Canis lupus familiaris: one gene and its partner. The protein of the gene in region 1 purifies or fractionates together with the protein of each later gene. This does not show direct contact. Links are inferred from orthologs where the notes say so. Each region holds a gene or a part of one and is shown on either strand. Other genes may lie near its edges.

The links. The genes of interacting proteins can lie anywhere in the genome.
Region 2: the proteins of ARID1A (region 1) and BCL7A purify together in Homo sapiens (affinity purification with mass spectrometry; 5 studies listed by BioGRID and IntAct, counting the BioPlex papers as one, with this or other methods). This does not show direct contact. The link is inferred for Canis lupus familiaris from reciprocal best matches to the Homo sapiens genes ARID1A and BCL7A.

What each region holds. Positions count from the first base shown.
Region 1 is NC_049223.1:72,791,160-72,801,643, forward strand, and holds the start of ARID1A (AT-rich interactive domain-containing protein 1A), read right to left. Parts: upstream 7,007-10,484; 5' UTR 6,992-7,006; coding exon 5,852-6,991; intron 1-5,851. UniProt on the Homo sapiens protein: Involved in transcriptional activation and repression of select genes by chromatin remodeling (alteration of DNA-nucleosome topology).
Region 2 is NC_049247.1:7,520,245-7,530,497, forward strand, and holds the start of BCL7A (B-cell CLL/lymphoma 7 protein family member A), read right to left. Parts: upstream 5,624-10,253; 5' UTR 5,441-5,623; intron 5,104-5,440; exon of another isoform or gene 5,023-5,103; 5' UTR 5,019-5,022; coding exon 4,927-5,018; intron 1-4,926.

The sequences.
Region 1 (10,484 bases):
CTTCCTCCATAAAAAGAATGTTTCACTGAAGGAACCCAGAAATGTTTTTAATCCTAAAATGGCAATTTCAAAAACAAAGATTGAATCTACCCATATAACCCTTCAGGCAGGATCTAGTGAGTCCCCAAACATTTGGACTTTGTACTAAAAACCCAGGAACCTGGGAGCATTAATTTTAATATATGTATGTATGATGCACAGAAGGAGTCCAGTAAAAACTATACAATAAACCCAACCTGTAAAGTGGGCTTATAATTCTGAGAGCCACAGCAAAACAGAAGCCGAGGACGACCCAGAAGCTGCAGTATCTTTTTTTCCCCTCCTTTCTGGTATTCCAAAAACGCAAACCCAACCCTAAAAACATCTCACCAAACTACAAAACCTTTCCGAAAGAACGAGGCTCATAAGTCAAACTCAAAGTCTCATAAACCAAGTTTTTGGAGCACACTTACCTCAATACTGAAACTTAGAATCTTCTTTCCAAACTTCTGTTTATTTTTACTCTGAAACTGCAATCCATTTTGAACAGGGGCTCCATTGCCCTGAACTTAGCCTAGAGCCAGGACCATGGAGGCTTCTCTTCGAGGGCAGCATCTTTTCACTTCCAATCTCTTTTAGATCATCTCTCCGTGTCTCCATAACCCCAGTACTACCTCTTCCCTACCCACATTTCTTTTTCTCCAATGTTATTTTATTCCACCACATGAGAACAGACTAGCATTATCTTTGCTTGAAAACTGTTTATTAATTTGCCTGTCAAACATTCTATAGAGCCGTTTACATCTTACTACAGAAACCTCCTGGGTACATATTGACAGCTCAGCAAGTATTTACACAAAGCTCTGAAACATTTGGTTCCTTCAGAAAGGAAGAAGCTGCTGTGTCAAGCAGAGAATTATCAAACACCTTTTCCTCTACCTTTTCCCCTCTTTTATAAAGGAAAGCTCCCTTCAAGCATACTTCTAACATGCCTAAATTATACTTCTAAACTAACTAAGCTAGGAGGAGAAAGAATGGAAATTCAGGTGTGCTGGAGAAGAGAACATCATTCCCAGGATCACCTGCAAATCACACCATGTAGTTTCAAAAAACCAAAGGTATGAGAAAAGGCAACAGGCCTATGAAATTGACCCTGTAAATGCTTGGCTTTTCCTGTTCCAGTCTCAGGAACTTTTGCTCCTCTCTCAGCAAAACTTACAGGGCAAGTTCAGGCACTCAGATTACAATCAACTGCCCAAACCAGACCTAGACCTGCCCAAACACCCAGAGAGTCTGGAAAACTTAAGGCTATCTCTCCCCCGCTTTCTATCCCACCAAATGCAAAGTGTTAATATTAAGAGAATCTACTCCCTACCCTACCATGAATCTACTCCCAAAATCCCCTCTTGGAGATTCTGAAGCAACTGTTTTTCAAGTCTTGCTTTAATGAAGTCTGCCCAATTTTTCAATTAATGTTTAGTGTTTTAACAACCAGCCAGGTGGAATGATTAATGACAAACAAAGTTTCAAAGCAAAATAGTCTGGTAGCGCTTTTTCCGTAAAGGGCCACAGATCATTGTGGTACCCACTGTTCAGAGCTTGCTCCTGTAAATCCTTAGGAGAAAAACAGCCTTGAGTTCTTCAGGCCCACAGGAAGAAAGATAAGTCTCAAGACCCCTACCGGTACCTGTACAGGAAGAAGCTGCCCTCATAATTAAGTCAGGTATGAAAGCACAGCCCAATATGTAGCATCAGACAGAAAGAAGGCCATGCAGTCCACCAACTTCACTTTACTGATGAAGAGAAAATAAAACCGAGGTGAATGGCTTGCCCCAAATCACACAGCTCAATCTAGAGCTGCATGTGGAACCAAAGCCTCTTGCTCCTGAGTCTTGTGCTCTTAATCCCTCACCACTATGTCACACACAACTCAGTGTGCATCAATAATGATAATGACCAATCTAAACAAGGAGAAACCCAGAGATAAAAGCCATGAGAATCAGGACTCCATTTTAAAGACCAAGGTATCCTAGCTCACTGGCAGGAAAGAACAATTCAGTCCCAACGTATTTTGAATACCATATTTTAACCAGACATTTGCTTGGTTCAGTTGCTTCTAGAATTTTGGGATTTGAAGCCAACCAATACAACCTTGAAGGGGGGAGCAGGGCAGCGGCGGTGGGGGAGCTATTGGGAAAGGGCCCTGATCATTACTTTGTTAGCCTATTTCCACATTTTAAAAAAGAGTTTCACTAACCTTGCTGCCAAAGCCTACTTTAGACAGCACACCTACAGGAATCAATCCAACAGATGAATGTTTAATGCAATCCAAGACATCTTATTACAGCAGGTGCCACTTGTCATGGTTTACTCTGTGTCACATACAAAGGAAGGAACCTTAAAAAGTCCTTGCAGGGCCTAATACAAAGAAGCCAACCTTGGTTCTGATGCTTTCTCTTCACTTGCCACCATCCCAACCCCCATCATCCCTAGTTCTCTCATGGACAGTAGAGAAACATGAAGCCTCACAACTAAGTGCCGTCTCAGTGTGGTTTTCCTGGTCCCTCCTACTTGAGAGAGCTCCAAGAGTCCTGTATTTTAGCCAGCCCAGAATTTCTGCCAGTAGGCATTCCCATAATAAGCCCAAGATTCTTGTATTTGTTTCCCAGGAGTAAGAAATATCATTTTATATTTCTATACCAAGAACTAACAGCCAAACTTCTACAATCAAATCCATCTTGATCCTGGACTACATATTCTATTTCATTTTTTACTTTGATGAGCTGATACTACTCTCAAGGTATGAGAGCTAACAGCATCCCAAATAAAAAACTTTACATGAGGTTCAAGTGCATAGGTGACCAAAAAGTATTTCAGCAGTAGCAGGATTCAACACCTTGAGACACACTATTAGTTATGGAAAGCGATAAAGGAAAAGTTTGCCTGCTGGGATCCTCCCGCTCCTGTGAAAAAGACAGAGCCACAATACAAACACTTAGCTAATCTTTATTTCATAAAGGAAGAGTCAAATGAGAACATTACCACCTTAGCTGTGTCAATCAATTCTCTGCAAAACAGTCTTAATCCAAGACTGAGAATGGGACAGAGCAAGACCCTATTATTTAAGAATGCTTAAGAATAAGCCATCATCGTCTGACAAGAGATTTATCCCTAAGTAGCAAAGAGGAATTCATATCAAAATCTATCCACCTACATGCCGCATGGAGCCTACCACAAAACTGAAAAAGTTGCACGGTCTCTTCCCACAAGTGAACACTCACCAGCCCATTCTCTGGGTATCAGGGGAGTAAGCAAGTGAACTGAAATTGAACAGGAACTTATGTTGCATGAAGTGCTAAGAACAGTTAGTGTTAAAAGTGAATCCAAAAAATTCACCCAGAGGCAGCACAGACAAGCTTCCAGAGAGGGACTACATCTATTTTTCTACCATTTACTCAGCACAGAGCATAGTACTTAGCACATAAAAAGTGCTCAAATATTTGTTTAATGACTGAAAACCAGAAATCACTATATGGCAAAAGTTGGTTTTATCCCCCCCCCCAAAAACAAAGTGTATGCCTGAATACCCTCAAACCAACATAATTCAAACTAATTTTTGCTTTTAAATGAGTCTGGACCTACCCAAATTACTTCCTCTAAAAATTTAAGAAAGGTAAATGGCTCAGACCCTCTCCCCTCAAGGGGAAAAAGATGTAATAGGTCTCTTATCCAGAGACAAGAGGATACTCTCTTTTCTAAGACAAAACTTAATCCTCTAGCACCAGAAATTCAATTTAAAATTTCCGTTTCTTGCCCAAACACAGAACATTACAGACAATGTAGAGTCAAGGCACAGAGATCTAAATCTGCCATTTAATACAGCTATTTTCATAATTCCCAGCTCAATAGAAGAGGAAAGCAGTTCTAGGATGAGGAAGGAATACGGCTCATCAGTGAACAAAATCTAATAGCAGGAAGGTACAACTGGGTACTGCTAGGGTGGTGGTGGTGGGGGCACAAAGAGCTTTTTCTCTCTGAAAAGATACAGGACTCCACAGAATACCCAATATTCTTGACTAAAGCACTGAAGTAAGAACATGAAGGGATATTAAGAGCAAAATAAACTAGAATGCATAAAAATGTACCTAAATGTTGTCATTTCTAAGCAAGTATCAAGTATCATTATAGGTGATATTTTCATTATCTTGGAACACAGAAAACACAATGGAACATACCTTAAAATGCAAAGAAAAAATTAGTTGACCTCTATCTCAAAGCTCTAAAGTGACTGATGACAAAACAGAAAACTAGCCTTTTTGATATCCCAGGAACAAATGATAAATTTTACCAAACCAGGCCTTTAGGAGAAAGTCCCTCCCAAGATCATAAAAGATATCGGCTTCTCTTTAAATTGAGCTGCTTTCTCAAAGTTCAATTAACAAAAGAGTTAACAAGATTCAACATGTAAACAAAGAATGAGGCCAGTCTTCCTTAAAACAGAACACTTGAACGTAATATGAAATTCTCTCAGGAAGCTTCCAGTTCAAAAAAAAAAAAAAAAAAAAAGAAAAAGAAAAAAAAAGTTTTCTTCTACCCCCTCCCATAAAGATCCCACATTTGTCACTCAATAAAAATCCCAGTAAAATAATCTCAATTCTGCAACGCGAACAGGGTCAAAATTACTCAAGACAAATGCATCTTCAGAGCCATCAAAGAAGTCATTTATACCACCAGGAAAGTCACAAAACCAAAACAAACAGCAAACCCATTGTAGAGAAAAACTCAGCTACTGTTCTGACAACACAGAATCTATTTCAGGCTGCATAAAACATAACAAGCAAAATAAATCCAAGGTACAAGCAAAATGCCACTGCCTCCTCTTTTGTTTCGGCACAATGTAACAAGGGCAGCCTGTCTGGGGCTCTGCTCCTGCTGATACAGTATTGCTGCTTAAACCTTCCTCCTCAAGGTCACAGCCAATTTCAGCTCTGGAATAAAAGGCAGATAGTGGCAGCGATGGTTTGGGTTATCACTGGCAGAAAAGCAGAGTGTAAAAGTTTATGAGCTCATCAGGATTGTTGTACCATTACATCAGAGGCAATTATAAATGGCCAAGAGCAGGAGATGGGGAGCCAATCAGATCACAGATAGGATGTCAACCTAAGACCAACTGTCTCCTGGCTTTGACAGAAGGATTTTACCTCCATAATTCAAATCCCAAACCAAAGCAATCTGCACTTACTACTCCAATCACTCAGCTGTTTACCAGCACTTCCAGGGAGAAGCCCAGGCCACTGGGCCGACGGAGACTAAGACAGGAGATGGCCCGGGCTGCCCTGGGTGAACCGCAGCCGGCCTTTAGCTGCCCCCAAGCAGGCCCCTGCCCTCCCCCGAGGTACCCCAGAGCCCGAGGGGCCCCTCCTTGAAAGCACAGATGGGGAACGGCCTAGAGGAAGGCAGGAGGGCGGGCAGAGAGGAGCGGCAGGTGAGCAAAGAATTGTTCACTCAACTCCCGAGCTCCTAGCTCTGCACACCCCAACCTGAGCCCCCAACACACCCCTCAACCCCGGGCCAGGCCCTTCCCCGCACATTCTGCCCCGCACCCCCTCGAAGACCCCAGGAGCGCGAAGGGACCAGGGGAGAGGGAGAAGGGGAGCAGACACCTCAGGGAAAGCCCCACACAAAGGCTGAAGGAGGGAAGGAGAGGAAGGCAGACAGGCAGCCATTTTAAGAGAAGAGCCAGACAATGGCAGCTCCCCAGCAGTGGGGGCCCCGGACTGGGGGTAGCCCAAGGCTGTGGCCTGCTCCCCGCAGCCGCCACCCACTCCCAGGACCCCGCTCGCCCCGGCCCCCTCCCCACTCAGCTGTGTACCTGCGGGGTCCGGGCGAGCGGCTGCGCCCCGCCGCCGCTGCTCCCGGGGCTCATGGGCGCGTGGTGGCTCCTTTGTTGGGCCCCTCCCGAGGCGGCTGCTGCCGCCGCCGCCGCCGCCGCCGCAGCCCCCCAGCACTGCGAGGCCATGTCCGCCGGGCCCTTGCCGGCGCCCCCGTCCTGGGGCCCGCCGCCGTAGTCGCCCCCGGGGTAGCCCTGGTAGCCCCGGGCCGAGCTGGGCGACGTGAGCAGTTGGTTGAGGGTGGGGGTGGCGGTGGGCTGGGGGGTTCCCCCGCCGGCCGCTGAGGGGCCGCCTCCCCCCATGGCCCCGAAGCGCTGCTGAGCGAAGGACGAAGACGACGAGGAGGCGGAGGCGCTGGAAGACGGAGGCGGCTTGGAGCCGGCGGCCGCCGCCGCGCCGGAGCCCGGAGTGCCACCTCTCGGGGAGCTCAGCGCGTAGGCCTGGGGGGGCGGGGGGTAGGCGCTGCGGTTGGGGTAGTAGGAGTTGTACTGGTGGTTGGGGAAGCCGTGGTCGTGCGAGTTCTGCTGGGGCCCCGCGTAGGGCTCCAGGCCCCCGCCGCCGCCGCCGCTCTGCAGCGCTGCCAGGCCAGGGCTTTGTTGTCCGCCATGTTGTTGGTGGAAGACGGCGGCCGCCGCGGCGGCGACGGCAGACGGGCTCCGGCCGTAGGGTTGCCCGAAGCCGTAGGCTGGGGGCGGCAAGGCGGCCGCGGCTGAGTGAGGAGGCGCCCCCACCCCATCGCTGCTGCCGCCGCCGCCGCCGCCGGGCGGCTCCGTGAGGTTATTGTTCAGGGCGGGCCTAGGGCCCGCGTTCCCGTTCGAGTTCTTCAGGTCCGGCTCCGCGCCGGGCCCGCCGCCGGCGCCGGCTCCACCGCCGCCGCCACCCCCATTGCTCTCGGCCCCGTCCTGCAGCTCCTTTCCCAGTGGCTGCGGCGGCCCCACGGCGGGGCCCTCGCTCTCCTGCCCGGCGGCTGCCTTCATTTCCCCGCGCTCGGCCGCTGCCGCCGCCGCCGCCTCGCCCCCCGCCTCCTCCCGCTGCTGCTGCTCCGCTTTCTTCAGCTCCGAGGGCGGCGGCGGCGGGTTGCCCAGGCTGCTGGCGGCGGCGGGGGCGACCTGCGCGGCCATGATCCCCGCTGTCTCGTCCGCGGAGAGACCCGGCCCTGTCTTCGTCTTCTCCCCCCCTCCCACCCCGCCCCGGGGCCGAGTCCCCCGGGCTGCCCTCCCCACCCGCCCGGGCGGGCCTCGCGGGGCTCCGCTGCTGCGCGGCGCTCGCTCGCTCGCTCCTCTCCCCCCCGCCCCGCCGGCTCAGGCTCCGGGCTGGCGGCGGCGGAGGAGGAGGAGGCGGCGGCGGCCGAGGCGCCGGCGGCTCAGCTGCTCCCGGCTCTGTAGGCTCGGGACCCGGCTCTCCCGGCTCATTCCCCCCAAGCCCTTGCCTGGGAATGAGGGGGGCGGTGGAGGCTCCGCTCCCCAGGGCCTGGCCCCGCTGTGACTCTCCGCTTTCTGCTGCCGGAGAAAGGAGGAGGGAGGGAGGGAGGGAGGCGAGGGGGAGGGGGCGGGGAGGGAGGGAGGGAGGGAGCGGGGGGAGGGGGACCCGGGACGGGCGGGCTGGAGGGCGCGCGGCAGCAGCCCGGGCGCCGGGAGGCAGAGTCGGAGCGCGGGCCGGGCCGGGCGCCCTGCCTCCCCTCCCCGGCCGCGGCGCGGGCCGAGGCTGCTGCGCGGCAGCGGGCTGGCGGGCGGGCGGGCGGCCGGACTGAGCGGCTAGAGCGCCCCACTCTCCTCCGAGTCCCCCTCACTCCGACACGAGGCTCAGCACTGCCATTTTACCCAGCGCCGTCGCGGCCGCCTGGCAAACCCGGAATGGAGCGCGGAGCGGGCGCAGGCCATGGAACGGACTCGCTCCCTTCCCCTCACAAAGGAGGAGGGGAGAGAACGAGCCGCGGCGGCGGCAGGCCCTCTGCCGCTTTCGCTCGGCAGCGCCGCCGCTGAAGGCTTCGGGGAAAACCCGGCCCGGAGCCCGCGCCTCTCGGAGCCTGCGCCGCCTCCCTTCTGGCGTTCCTATCCGGGTCGGTCCCCTCCAGGCCGCACCGAGGGGAGCGGGCAGCGTGAACTTTACTCGCGGCTGCAAAATTGGCCAGAGCCCGAGACCGCGGCCGCCTCGGCCCAGGCCTGACCCCCTGGCAGCGGGCCTGGTCTCTTGGCTGCTACTTAGCACCTCTACAGCACTTTTCTTCAAAGCCTTTTACAAACCCGGTCTTAAAGACCCAGCTGAGTGAGCGAGCAGGGCCTTACATTTTATCCCCTTTGCAAGCCCAACGGAATGACAGATCATTGTTCAGACTTTCCGTTTTCCCACTCCCCTACCCTCATTAGCCCGGCCTCATAAGGCCCATGGGCCTGGGGGGCCATGAGGTCCGATTATCCCCATTTTAGAGAATTGGAACACAGAGGGAAAGGGACTGCCCTGTCAGAGGGCAGAGGGTGATTTTAAAAAGTAGCCAAGTTCCCCAAGTTTTCCCATCTACTTAGCCTTAAAAAAAAAAAAAAAAAAAAGCAATCAAGTCGTGTGCCGTATCCAACAATGGGAACAGAAGAATGGGTTTGAGATCAAAGCTGATCATCTCAACCTTAGATCATCTCAACGCCGACATAAGATGATGACCACTGAAACTACTTTGGGGGCATATGACAGCCTTCTCAGGAGAACTCAAGCCCGATCTTTTCCTCCTGGGAGAACTTAGCCCACAATGACCAATAGTCCCAGTCTCTGAAGACAATACCTATAAGAATGTGAGCAGTGGACAGAAGAGGCTCCAGGGACTGGAGGAAACTGTTCAAAGGCACCAGTGCAGAAGAAGAATGGCTGCTGGGAGGGAATCCGTTTTCTCTCTTATTATTTTAAAGATTTTATTCATTCATGAGAGACACAGAGAGAGGCAGAGGTAGAGGCAGAGGGAGAAGCAGGCTCCCTGCAGGGACTGCATCCCAGGACCCTGGGATCATGACCTGAGCCAAAGGCAGATGCTCAACCACTAAGCCACCCAGGTGCCCCCCATTTTCTCCTTAAAGAGAGAAAAGGGGCAGTCTAACAGGTCACTTAGAAAATGGATGCAACTAAATTTGTTTTCTATCCTCCAGTGTAAAGATTCTTCAAAGTTTACTATTATATTCCAAGAGATGCCAGTTGAGCTAGAGGTATACATAGAAAACTCTAGATAGAGCTACAGGCCCTATCAAATCCCAGCAGCAGCCTTTTCCTCCTCATGCTGACTTGGAATGCTCTGACGTGACAGGCTACAAAAGCCAGAGGGGATTCCAGCTCCTCACCAGGCCCAAGGCTGCCTTAGGAGAGGCCCAGGCTATAGTCACTAGACACCAGAGCCTCTTTCCCCCTCAGATTTTATAAATGGAGACTTCATGGCCACAGATCCATTATATTAGAACTTCCAGATCATGCAGGCCCCTTCGACAAGTTCTAGCCATGCCACTGGTCACCGTGAGTAATTCCAAAAACCTGAAGTCATCCCTACTCTGAAGAAAACATAATATGATCTTACACTACAAAGGCAAAACCTTCTTGTTAATCTAAGACTGGTGGGGGTGGGGGGGTTCTGTCTCAAGCCAAGAATCAAACTATCAGGCTCTGACTGACTGGAATGGGCCAGTGCCCTCGTTTCACTCACTGAAGTCCTCAGGGGCAACTACTCTCCCGGTGCATTAGGTCCTAGAAACCAAATTATAGGCTGCCTCATAAATGGAGCTTGGCTATTTAATCAACTGCTTCTGAGCTGGCAAACAGTCCTGAGTCCTGCACACAAATGAGGACTTTTTACATGCAATTACCCTGCCATTTTCCTCAGAGCTGGAGTGTAATGGGAAACCTGGAGCCCAGTGAAAATCTGGAAGCCAAAATGGATCTGTCTCCAGAGAAAGCCCTCATCCCTTTTTCAATGGTTGTGAAATTCGGAAAGTGCCCAAATCCCTTTCCTACACGTGGGCGAGCTGTTTTGAAAACAGCCACCATTTTTATCTAGCAACAAGGTAAAGTGCATTTAACAATCTATCCACCTGGGCTGGAGGAGGCAATGTGGAATTTCTCTTTTTCCATTTGTCTTAAATCTCCAATCCTTTAGGATTCTCTTCCACCCCTACCCTTAGAGCCCTATGCCACTATCCCAAGGACTCCCGAGTTGAAGGGAACTTTCTTAGAAACTGGCCCATCAGCTTTCCCTAGGGGCAATGGCAGCGGGAAAGGGGGGAGGGGAGGTACTGGGCACGTGGCTGGCCGGAGCTCCAGGACCCAGGTTTGGGGCTGCGGGTTCTCCCCGTGGACTTTTCTCCCCCACAGCCCCAGTGTTTTAACCCCACACCCAGGCAGCTCAGGAATCCCGGCGCAGATTGGAGAACTAGGACTAGGACAGCGCTACCCTCACGAAAGCGCCTCAGCCACCAACAGCCTGATGGCAAATATGGACTGAATCGTTGACATGGAAACCGGACTAAAGTCTTGCTCACTCCCTCACAAGAGAGTTCTTATCGCCATCCCCGACCGCACAGCACTTGGCAAACGTGGACTGGATCTCCCGCCCAACGGATCAGGCGGAGTTTCGGCGCTCAGCTT
Region 2 (10,253 bases), on another chromosome or scaffold:
CACAGAGCACATCTCCGTTACAGAAGCTGGACAAAGAAACACAAATCACTAGCATCCCACGCAAATGGCCAAAGGCACTCACTACTCACAATCCCTCAACTGACTTCATGGGCCAGGGCCCAGTAGGTCGGCAAATCCAAGGTTTGTGCTAAAAACAAAAACAAAAGTAATTGACTTGCAAAACATAGGACGCAGCATCTCAAGGCAGAAAGTGTGCCAGATCTGGGCTTTGCAGCCTACATGCGAGCCAAGATGAATCCCCAAGCTGCACATGCTTCCCTGAGTGGTTGAGGGCCCTGCAACCTAAGGGCGGACACGGCCAGGTTCTCATGCCTCCCTTTGTTGCAGTTGGTGACCCCATGGCCTGAGTCCCCCAACTCAGCCCAAAGATTAGAAACCTTTCTTCAGTTGCCTTTCTACTGGATACTGAGGGGCTACAGGACGTAAGGAAAAGCATTAAGAACCCAACCTCAGGAATGGACCTGCGGTCTGGCCTTTGCCCACCAGCCCAGCAGGGAGACAAGGTCCTGGGCCTCAGGCAGTAAGTTAGAGCAAGCACCAGGCAGGACAGAATGGATTTCACAGACATGACCAGTGAGTGGGCTCTGAGTGTCTCCTCCTGCTGGCAGCACCTTGCGCTCAGAGAAACAGTGGAGTTCCTACTAGATCCCCGAACCTATCATCCCAGAGCACACAGCCCCTGCCCTCATTGAGGGAATTAAGCTGCACTCACTACTTCATATCTGGGGTGGCAAACAAGTGCCCAACAGGTATGTTTTGTCTGGTCTGCACACTCGTTTTTTAAATTTTAACTAATTGACAAGCTTTAAGAAGAAAAAAATCAGGGGCGCCTGAGTGGCTCAGTGGGTTAAGCGTCTGCCTTGGGCTCAGGTGATGATGATCTTAGAGTTCTGAGATCAAGCCCTGTGTCAGGCTCCCTGCCTGCAGGGAACCTGCTTCTCCCTCTCCTCCCTGCTTGTGGTCTCTCTTTCAAATAAAAAAACAACAACAAATAAATAAATAAAAAGTGAAGAAGAAAGAAGAAGAAGAAGAAAGACTACATAGAAATCTAGATTGCTGACTACTCTGATAAACACAGTGCCTTGGCCACAAGGGGCCCACGTGCCTGAGGAACAAGGACTCTCAAGGAGCTCCCAGCACTTACTCCCCTGGAGGCTTTGGACCCAGATTCAGCAGGCTGCACCCCCACCTTGCCACAAAGCTGCCTGTGGGCACACCCTGAGTGCTTCTGCCCTGCTGCTCCCCCACACCGTAACCAGTGAGGCTTAAGTATGTACCTTTCCCCCCTCCAGACTTGGGCTCCTGGACAAAAGGGGGTCCCAGCTATAGCAATAAAGCCCCAAACACTCCCCTGCCCCCAGCACAGGCTCCCATATAAACCACAAGCACCTGTCACAGATTGTCTAGACCAAGGTCAATTTCTAATGTTTTTCCCGGTCCAGGTCCAAAGGCTAGCCAAGGAGACCATCTTGGGGTCACTGCCCGAGGGGACCCCACTGGCTCCCTCAAAGAGACTGCAAATCCCTCACTTTGATTTCACCTCCCAGGGCTAGTCCTTGACACCTTAGGAGGTCTTGTCTATGACTGGTGTTGTCCTAACTAGGCCCAGGCTCATCTGCCCTGCCCTGCACTTGGCAGGATGGTATCCCCAAATGTAAAGTGGTGAGGGCCTAAACACGGTCAAGTTTCTTCCTCCCTCAGGGATGAGTGGGAAGTCTCCAGGGAACAGGACTCTCTCCTTCAGTAAGTCACTGAGGGACCCTTCAGACCAAGGGCCCAGGGGTCCCAGGGGTCCCAGGGCCTACTCTGTGGCTCAAGTCTTTGTCTCCCACCCAATGACCCTCCTCCCCTGCTCTTCTCCACCCACACTGGGCCCCTAACCCTGGCCCAGTTTCCCAAAAGGGGGCCCACCATTTTGTTCTTCTTCCAGCCATCTTGTGGCTGCTTCGCAGCCTACCAGCCTGCCTTGCTGGGATACCAGACAAGGGAGGAAAAACAGCTGGTGGCTAGGGATGGTGTGGTCACGGCTGGCTGCTGGCTTTTTCAAGGTTGGCAGAGGGGGGGATTTTTAGGGGTCACCAGGGCTGAGAAGAAATACTACCCTAGAGTTACGGAATAAATGGTATTCCAGATACCTCTGTTCTCTGGATAAAATATAGGATGCTGAATTCAATTTGAATTTCAGATATGTAACATTTACATAAGTATGTGTAAGTATGTCCCAATACTGCATGGGACATACTTACACTAAAATTTATACACATATATCACTTATTTTTATTTTATTTTTTTTATATCACTTATTTTTAAAAAGTTATTTCATTGTTTATCCAAAATTCAAATTTAACTAGGTATCCTCTAATTTTATTTGCTAAATCTGGCAACCCGATGTCCCCGCTACTAGTGAAACGCATGGTTGGTGGCCACGCAGTTAATAAACAACCCAAAGCCTCAAGGACTGACTGGAAGGACTATTCTGAAAGTACAGTGAAGGTGAGATTTGACTTCTCAAGGGCCAGGGAAACCCTGGAAATAAAATGAAGTATTTTTTGCTTAAAACGGGCAGGGAAAAAAGAAAAAAGAAAAAAAAATTAGCAAAACATAAATGTTACAGCATCCACCTTACAATAAGGACACCATTAGTGACTGTTCCTATTTGCAGGAGTAAGTGCTTTTGGAGATACGATCCTGTTCTAAGAAGGAGAAAGCAGCACTGAGACCCGGTGCTGCCATGGCTCAAGAAGTTTGTCCAAGGTCACAGCAAGAAAGTGAACTGGAAGCCTGGCCATTAGACCCTGAAGTCTGAGGTCTTTATCATAACCTGTTTCCCAAAACACAGGGAGGGAGGGAGGGAGGGCAACACGTTCTTGTCCCCTTCCCCCAAACACAGGCCTGGCCAAGTGAGCTAGGCAATACTGCCCGCCTCCAGGCTGCCTGTCCTGCCACCCACAGGGCAGAAAACCCCATAGCTCCATCTGCCCTCCCTGCAGAGCAGCTGGCCGACTGGCCCTACAGGAGCAGCTGTCAGGGTGCAAGAGCCTCTGTCCTGCTGGGAACCTGGAGCAGAAAGCTCCACCACGCCTCCTTGAACAGAGAAAGGCAGCTTGCCCCCAGCCCCTTTCTCACCTCCTGGGCCCTGACAGAAGGGACCCAGGCCCAGACACTGGTTCTTTCTTTGCACAGGCTCTAAGACAGGGGACAACCCTAGCCTTCCCTCTGGGAATCCCACCAGAGAGGGGACTGTGGGCTTGTTTTCCTGTGTGTGTTTTGGCCTTGCAGCTGTTACTGCCATTTTTAAATGGCTCCAGTTAGGCACTGGGCACCCTGCGTGCCCTGGGGAGCTCCCACAGCCCCCGAAAACTCCGATCTCAACTTTGGAAGGCCTCCCCTTCTCACGGTTCTGAAAATTCTTTGTCCCATTGGAGCCAAACCCAGCCCTCGGCCGGGCATCCGGCCATCCGCAGAGAGCCCTTTCCATAGGAGGCCCAGGGGCACGTGGACTTTATTGATTTTCCTCTTGCCTTTTTTGTTGGGTTTGACTCAGAAAGGACAGCTAACTTGTGATCCGGCGAGGCTGGAGGCTCACCCCCAGCGGTTTTTAGAGACCAAGGCCTTACTCAAGAAATGCCACCCCTGAACATAAACACACCCCACCAGGGGCCTGCCCAGTTTTTTAGGCTTTAAGTCAAAGGTCAGGACGAGCTGGCGAGGGCTGACACTCGGGACGTCGAGGCTGCTCCTCCCTCTCCCTGACCCAGGTGAAGCCGTGGGAAAAACAAATAATAATAATAAAGTTGAAATCAAGGAGCTGGGAGTTTTCAACAAGTCCGCCCGGGGGGATGTGCTCGCGCGGCGACGTGCTTGCGCCCGGGGCCTGGCCCGCGGCGGCCGATGCGGGGCCAGACCCTCGACCGGAGGCGAACACGTTCGGTCGCGCGAATCGCGACGAGGCGGCGCCGGACGGACCCCGGCGTGAGCCCCGGGAACACGCGCGGCCGACGCCGAACCTTCTCTCCCCCGCGCAGAGAACAAAAACAACGGCTCTCTCGGCACCACGCACACGAGCCGCGGCTCTGGGAAGGGCAGACTCGGCCGAGGAGCGGCTTCGGGCCAGAAGGGTGGGCCCGGGCCGGCTGGAAGGGGGTGCCCGGCGCCCCGGGCCCGGGCCCGCCGCCGCCCGGCGCTTCCTCCTCGCGCTCGCCCCCATCTTTCTTCCTCGCCCAGAGCCCTCGCTCCAGGCAGCCCAAAGCGCTAAATTTAAACGGCTCGCGCTCTGCAAACTCCGCAGACTCGAGGGCGCCCGGGCCTGGGAGGCGGGGAGCGAGCGGCGAGCGAGCCAGCCGGCCGGGGAGGGAGGGGGAGGGAGGGGGAGGGAGGCCCGGCGCGCGGGCAGGGGCGCGGGGGCCGGCGCTGCGCCGCCCGGGGCGCGCGGGGAGGAGACGGAGACGGCGGCGGCCCGCTCGGAGCCTGCACAATGGAGCTCGCGCTCTCCCCTCCGCCGCCGGCATCGCGGCCCCGGCGCGCGGGAAGCCGCTTTCATGTGACTTGCACAAAACGAAATGGCTTCTGGGGCCGGCCCCGAGCCCCCCTCCCGGGAGCCGAGCGCCGCGGCGGGGCCGGCCCGCCGCTCCACCCGCCCGGCCCGGGGCGCCCCGCCGCCTCCAGGCTGCCGCCGCCGCCGCCGCCGCCGCCGCCGCCGCCACCGCGCCAGGTGGGCGACGGGCGCGAGCGCACCTGGGCAGCGGCCACGGCCCCCGCCTCGCGCAGGTGACCCGGCTCGCGCGCCGCCCGCCGCTCCAAGTCCCGGGCCCGCGGCGCCCGCCGGCTTTTTGTATGTGCTCCGGGGGTCGGGGCGGCCGCGGCGCCGGGCGGGCGGGCGGGAGGCGGGCAGGCGCCTCCGCTTACCATTTGCGCACTTTCTCGATAGCCGCCATGACCCTCTTGATATCATCTTTGGCGCGGCTCCTGGTCTCGGCTCGAACCGACCTGCCCGACATGGTTCTGGCGGGGAGAGAGAGGCTGGGGGAGCGCGCCCGCCGGGTCCTGCTCGCGCTCCGCGGCGGCCACACTCGCGCCCGCCCGCCCGCCCGCTCACTCACTCACACACTCACACACACACTCTCTCACACACTCACACACACTCACACACACACACACAAAGCCGGAGCCGCCGCGCGCCCGGGGCCCAGTGCGCAAGCGCCGGGCGCCAGCTGCACCGAGCAGGGGGAGCAGCGCCGCCGCGGCCGCCAGCAGTGCGGCCTCCGGGCGCCCCGCCGCCGCCCGCCCCGCGAGCCGCCCCCGCCCCCGGCCCGGCGCCCGCGACCCCCGCGACCCCCGCCACCCCCGCGCCCCCGGGGGAGGCGGCCGGCGGCCCCCGGCTCCCCGCGCCCCGCCGCCCGCTCGGCGCGCGGACACTCACTCGGAGGCCGAAGGGGCCGCGGGGTGCCCCCCGCTCCCCGGGAGGGCGGCCGGCCGTGCAGGGGGGCGCACTCCTTGGGAGCCACCTCGGCTGCCGGTGCGCGGCCCCGGGTGTGCGTGGCAGCGGGTGCAATAATGCAAGTTTCCTGTGGGGCTCCTGACTTCTCGGAGTTGAAGGCGGCGATTCGGGATGCGAGGTGCTCTTGGAGAGAGTTGGGAAACCAGGATCTCGGCTGGCCCTCCGCCCTGCGCAGACACGCGAGCTGGGACGTCGCTTCCCTTTCCCTCGTCCTTTTGGAAAACTAGAGCCGGAGGGAAGATGCCAGGACCCGGGCGACCACTAGCCGGTCGACCTTGCCTATTAATAGCTTTCCGCGAAGGAACAGCTCATCGATGATCAGCGTTTCAACTGGGGCTCCTCTTTTCCCTCTGGGGTTGCTGTCAGAAAAGCACCATTTAAATTTGAAGCCACTCCTGACCAAAGTCCCAGCCTCCGACCAGATGCTGCCAGCGCACAGATGACCCTAGCAGGTGAAACGGGCTGGCCGGCCTACAAGGAGGACTTTTGGGGGTGGTTTCTTCCCGCATGGTGCCTCAGGACAGCTCTGGGGAAGAATCTGCAATTATCAGGATAACCCAGGTGCCACATCTTTGTGTTCAGCGGCCACTACACCGACTGGACCAGAGCTACTTTGGGCCCAGATGGTTGCTAGGGAAACTGAGTGACCCTAGTAGCAAACCCAGTGTCTCTTAGAGATAAGCTAGTCCAACACCAGTCATTTTACCCGGGGAAACTGAGTCCCAGGGAAGTTCAAGGTCACAGTCATAAGCTGGATCCCAGACTCCCACTCATTCCAGAACCAAGCAGTTTCCCCTGAGATTTAGGTTTTTTTTTTTTAATTTTTATTTATTTATGATAGTCACACACACACACACACACACACACACACACAGGCAGAGACATAGGCAGAGGGAGAAGCAGGCTCCATGCACCAGGAGCCGGACGTGGGACTCGATCCCGGGTCTCCAGGATCGCACCCTGGGCCAAAGGCAGGCGCTAAACGGCTGCGCCACCTAGGGATCCCGAGATTTAGGTTTTGGGGAGAAAAGCTACTGGGGAAATAGAATGCCTAATACGAAAAATAAAATAATACCTCAGTGAATCATTCTGAACATTATATAGGAAAATGCGTCACAGCAGGCTATAAAACATTGTTCTCTACTCTTGACCCTCTGATGGCTTAGGGCCACAAAGAACTTCTGAATATATATGTCTGAAAAAAATAGAAAGATTTTTGGGGCACCTGGTTCACTGAGTCGGAGAAGCATGCATCTCTTGATCTCCAGGTAGTGAGTTTGAATCCCATATCAGGTATAGAAATTATATAAATAAATGAAACTTAAAAAAAATAAAATAGGAAGATATCAAAAGTTCAAAAACCAGGGTCACCTGGGTGGCTCAGTGGTTGAGCATCTGCCTTCAGCTCAGGGTGTGATCCCAGGGTCCTGGGATAGAGTCCCTCATCAGGCTCCCTACAGGGAGCCTGCTTCTTCCTCTGCCTCTGCCTATGTCTCTGCCTCTCTCTGTGTCTCTCATGAATAAAGAAATAAAATCTTCAGAAAAAAAATAAAAAACCGAACTGGTGAATGAATAAATGTGTATACCCACACAATAGAATGCTATTCAGGTGTTAAGAAGGAATGAAGTACTGATACATCCCACAGCATGGATGAACTTTGAAAGCATAATAAGTAAGATAAGCCAGTCACAAAAGGACAAATATTATATGATTCCACTTACATGAGATATCTAGACTGGGCAAATCCATTGAGACAAAGCAGACTGGTGGTTGCCAGGGGCTGGGGGTGGGGGTGGGAATAGAGAGGGACTTCCAAGGGGTATGAGGTTTTTTTTTTGGAGTGATGAAAAAGTTCTGGAATTAGATAATGGTGATTACTGTACACCATTGTGAATATACTTAATGTCACTGAACTGTACACCTAAAAATCTTACAGTGGTCAATTTTATATGTATTTACCACAATAAAAAGAAATCCAAATATCCAGCTCCTCCAAAAGTAGTGGAAAATCTGCAGACTGGTCCCCCAGTGCTACATGTAACAATCAGCTGAGGGTGAGGTGCCCTGTGGCCCTCAGAGGAAGCTTTCCAGGTCACCAGTGTGTCACCAGGTCTCTTTACTCACTCACATTACCAGATGGCCCCTGGACGTATTTGTGTTCTTGATCTCTGATTAAACTATAAGGCTTTCTACAAATGTTCTTTGTAAATCTAGAGTGTCACTTTCTATAGTTCCCTGTCCTCTGCAGATATTTTTTAACCTTCCTTTCAACAAAGCACAGTTGTTTTACAATCTGTGTCTGATAATTCTAATATTTCAAGTATCTCAGGATCTGTTTCTCCTAGTTCTTGCTCATGGTATCCTATTTCCTTGTGATCAGCCTGGTTCTCTTTGGCCATGCTAGGCACTGTATTTTAAGATTTATTTACAGTGATAATTTGAGGCTTAGGACGAAGTTACCTGCCTCCAGAGATTTACCTTTGTTTTTTTTTTTTTTTTGTTTTGTTTTGTTTTTGTTTTTTAGATTTTATTCATGAGAGACACAGAGAGAGAGGCAAAGACATAGTCAGAGGGAGAAGCAGGCTCCCTGCGGGGAGCCCTATGTGAGACTCGATCCCAGGACTCCAGGATCACAACCTGAGCCAAAGACAGACACTCAACCACTGAGCCACCCAGGCTCCCCTACGTTTGCTTCTGATAGGCTCCTGAGGGCACTGCTATTCCAGGACTACCTACATCCAGATTCAGGGCTTCTGGGTCCCTGGGCCACCCAGATGATACAAATACAGGCTGCCCTATTGAGCTAGTCTGGTTTGCTTAGTATCCTATGCAGGTTGGAGGGGGAAGGTGTATCAGTGATGTGAGCAGCTGGCTAACAGACCTACACTTTTCAACTTTGTGTACAGTGACCCCATGTTGATGGTTTGAAAACACCATGAAGGGATCCCTGGGTGGCGCAGCGGTTTGGCGCCTGCCTTTGGCCTAGGGCACGATCCTGGAGACCCGGGATCGAATCCCACGTCGGGCTCCCTGTGCAGGGAGCCTGCTTCTCCCTCTGCCTGTGTCTCTGCCTTTCTCTCTCTCTCTCTCTCTCTCTGTGTGACTATCAAAAATAAATAAATTTAAAAAAAAAATGAAAACACCATGAAAATTGGCAAAGCTATATGTCAGGATCTTTTCCCCAACCCCACCCAAAGCTGGTTGGTAAACATTTACCAGCATACCAATAGGGTCTCAAATTATTGTGGGGCAAGTCTCATCTCCCACCTGGACTTTTATTTCTGGCCTCTTAGCTCAAAAAACCATTCATGCTAGAGTTCAAATATTCTAGACTGATTATCTGCAGGGTTAAGATGGCTTCTTTGATGGATTATCTTTCAGGGTTCTCTTTTTCCTTCAATTTCTGCTATTCCTTATTATTTTGTCAGCATGTGGTGGCTTTTTAGAATGTTTTCAAATACTTTTTCTACCATTTTTAGTAGCTTTTAGCTTGAGAGGTTGTCTGGAACCCTGGTTACCGGAAAATGGAAGTCAGGCTCTCTCTGAATGTTGGTTATTATTTTAGATATGTTAAAAGAGAGATCATAGGGTTATAGAAGTGAGTTATTTTGTTGTGGCTTGTGTCTTAACCTCTCTGGGCCTCATCTGTAAAATAGAATGGAAATAACACATGCCTCGTGGAGCTATCATGAGAACTAAACACAGTATTTGCCAAGGACTTAGAACAGTGCTTGGCACATAGTAAAAGTGCTAGAGACCAGAAAGTATTTGTTGAATAAAGGAGCTGGTGACCCCTTGCATCATTGTGACCCACGCTAGGTCAACTACCTCTCTTTCCTGGGCTGTTCAATTCAACCCTTAATCCACTGTTATCTGGGGGGTTGAGGAAGTTTCCACCTCTGGAGTGTGATACATAATTGTAAGGAAGTGCAGACCCTGCTCCAGCTTCTCGGCAGCCTTGGTCCTCACCTAGCAACTTGCAGCAGCAAGTTGTTTTCGTAAACAGAGATGCTTTGGTGTTTGGGGAGAAGGCCATTAGCAAAGGGAGAGTACCAAAGAGAAAGGACTATAGTCCCCTCCTCAGAGACAAGAGCCAAAGGGAGTACTACCGGGTATGAAACCCCTCTCCTATTGCAGAGAAGGACACTAAAACTCAGAAGTCACACAGCCAGTTAGCAGGCTTCTGGCCAGAACCCTACTCTCCTCTTGTGGTTTCCAGGATTCCTCACTCCACATCCATCATAAGATTGGAAGTCAGCATGGTGGGAATGTTGACACTATGGAAATTAGCAAGTGCTATACATCAGGACCCTCCTGGTCCTCCTCCACCCGGAGCTGATTGGCAAATGTTTACCAGCATACCACTGGTGGAGCCTAATGGGGTCCCAAACGATAGACTGGGGATGTCTTGAAAAAAATTTTTCTTTGACAAACTAGATACTGCAATCTGCCTCTCCATCTTTCTTGCCTGAAACTACAACTCAGATGCTCACCAGTTCAAATACTAGTTGATTGGCAATTTGCATAGCTGTCCATGCAACCAGTGGCTTGCCCACAAGTTGGGCCACTTCAGGTCATATAAAAATAAAGAAATAGTGGACATGAAGTGCTTTGAAATACTGATGTGTCCAAGGTGAGTCAGTGCAATCCAGACACTCTTCTAACAATGAAAGATTAAACACAGGGTGTCTGCTCAGGACCCAGTGACTTAGAGCAAAGTTAGAGAGACCTGTC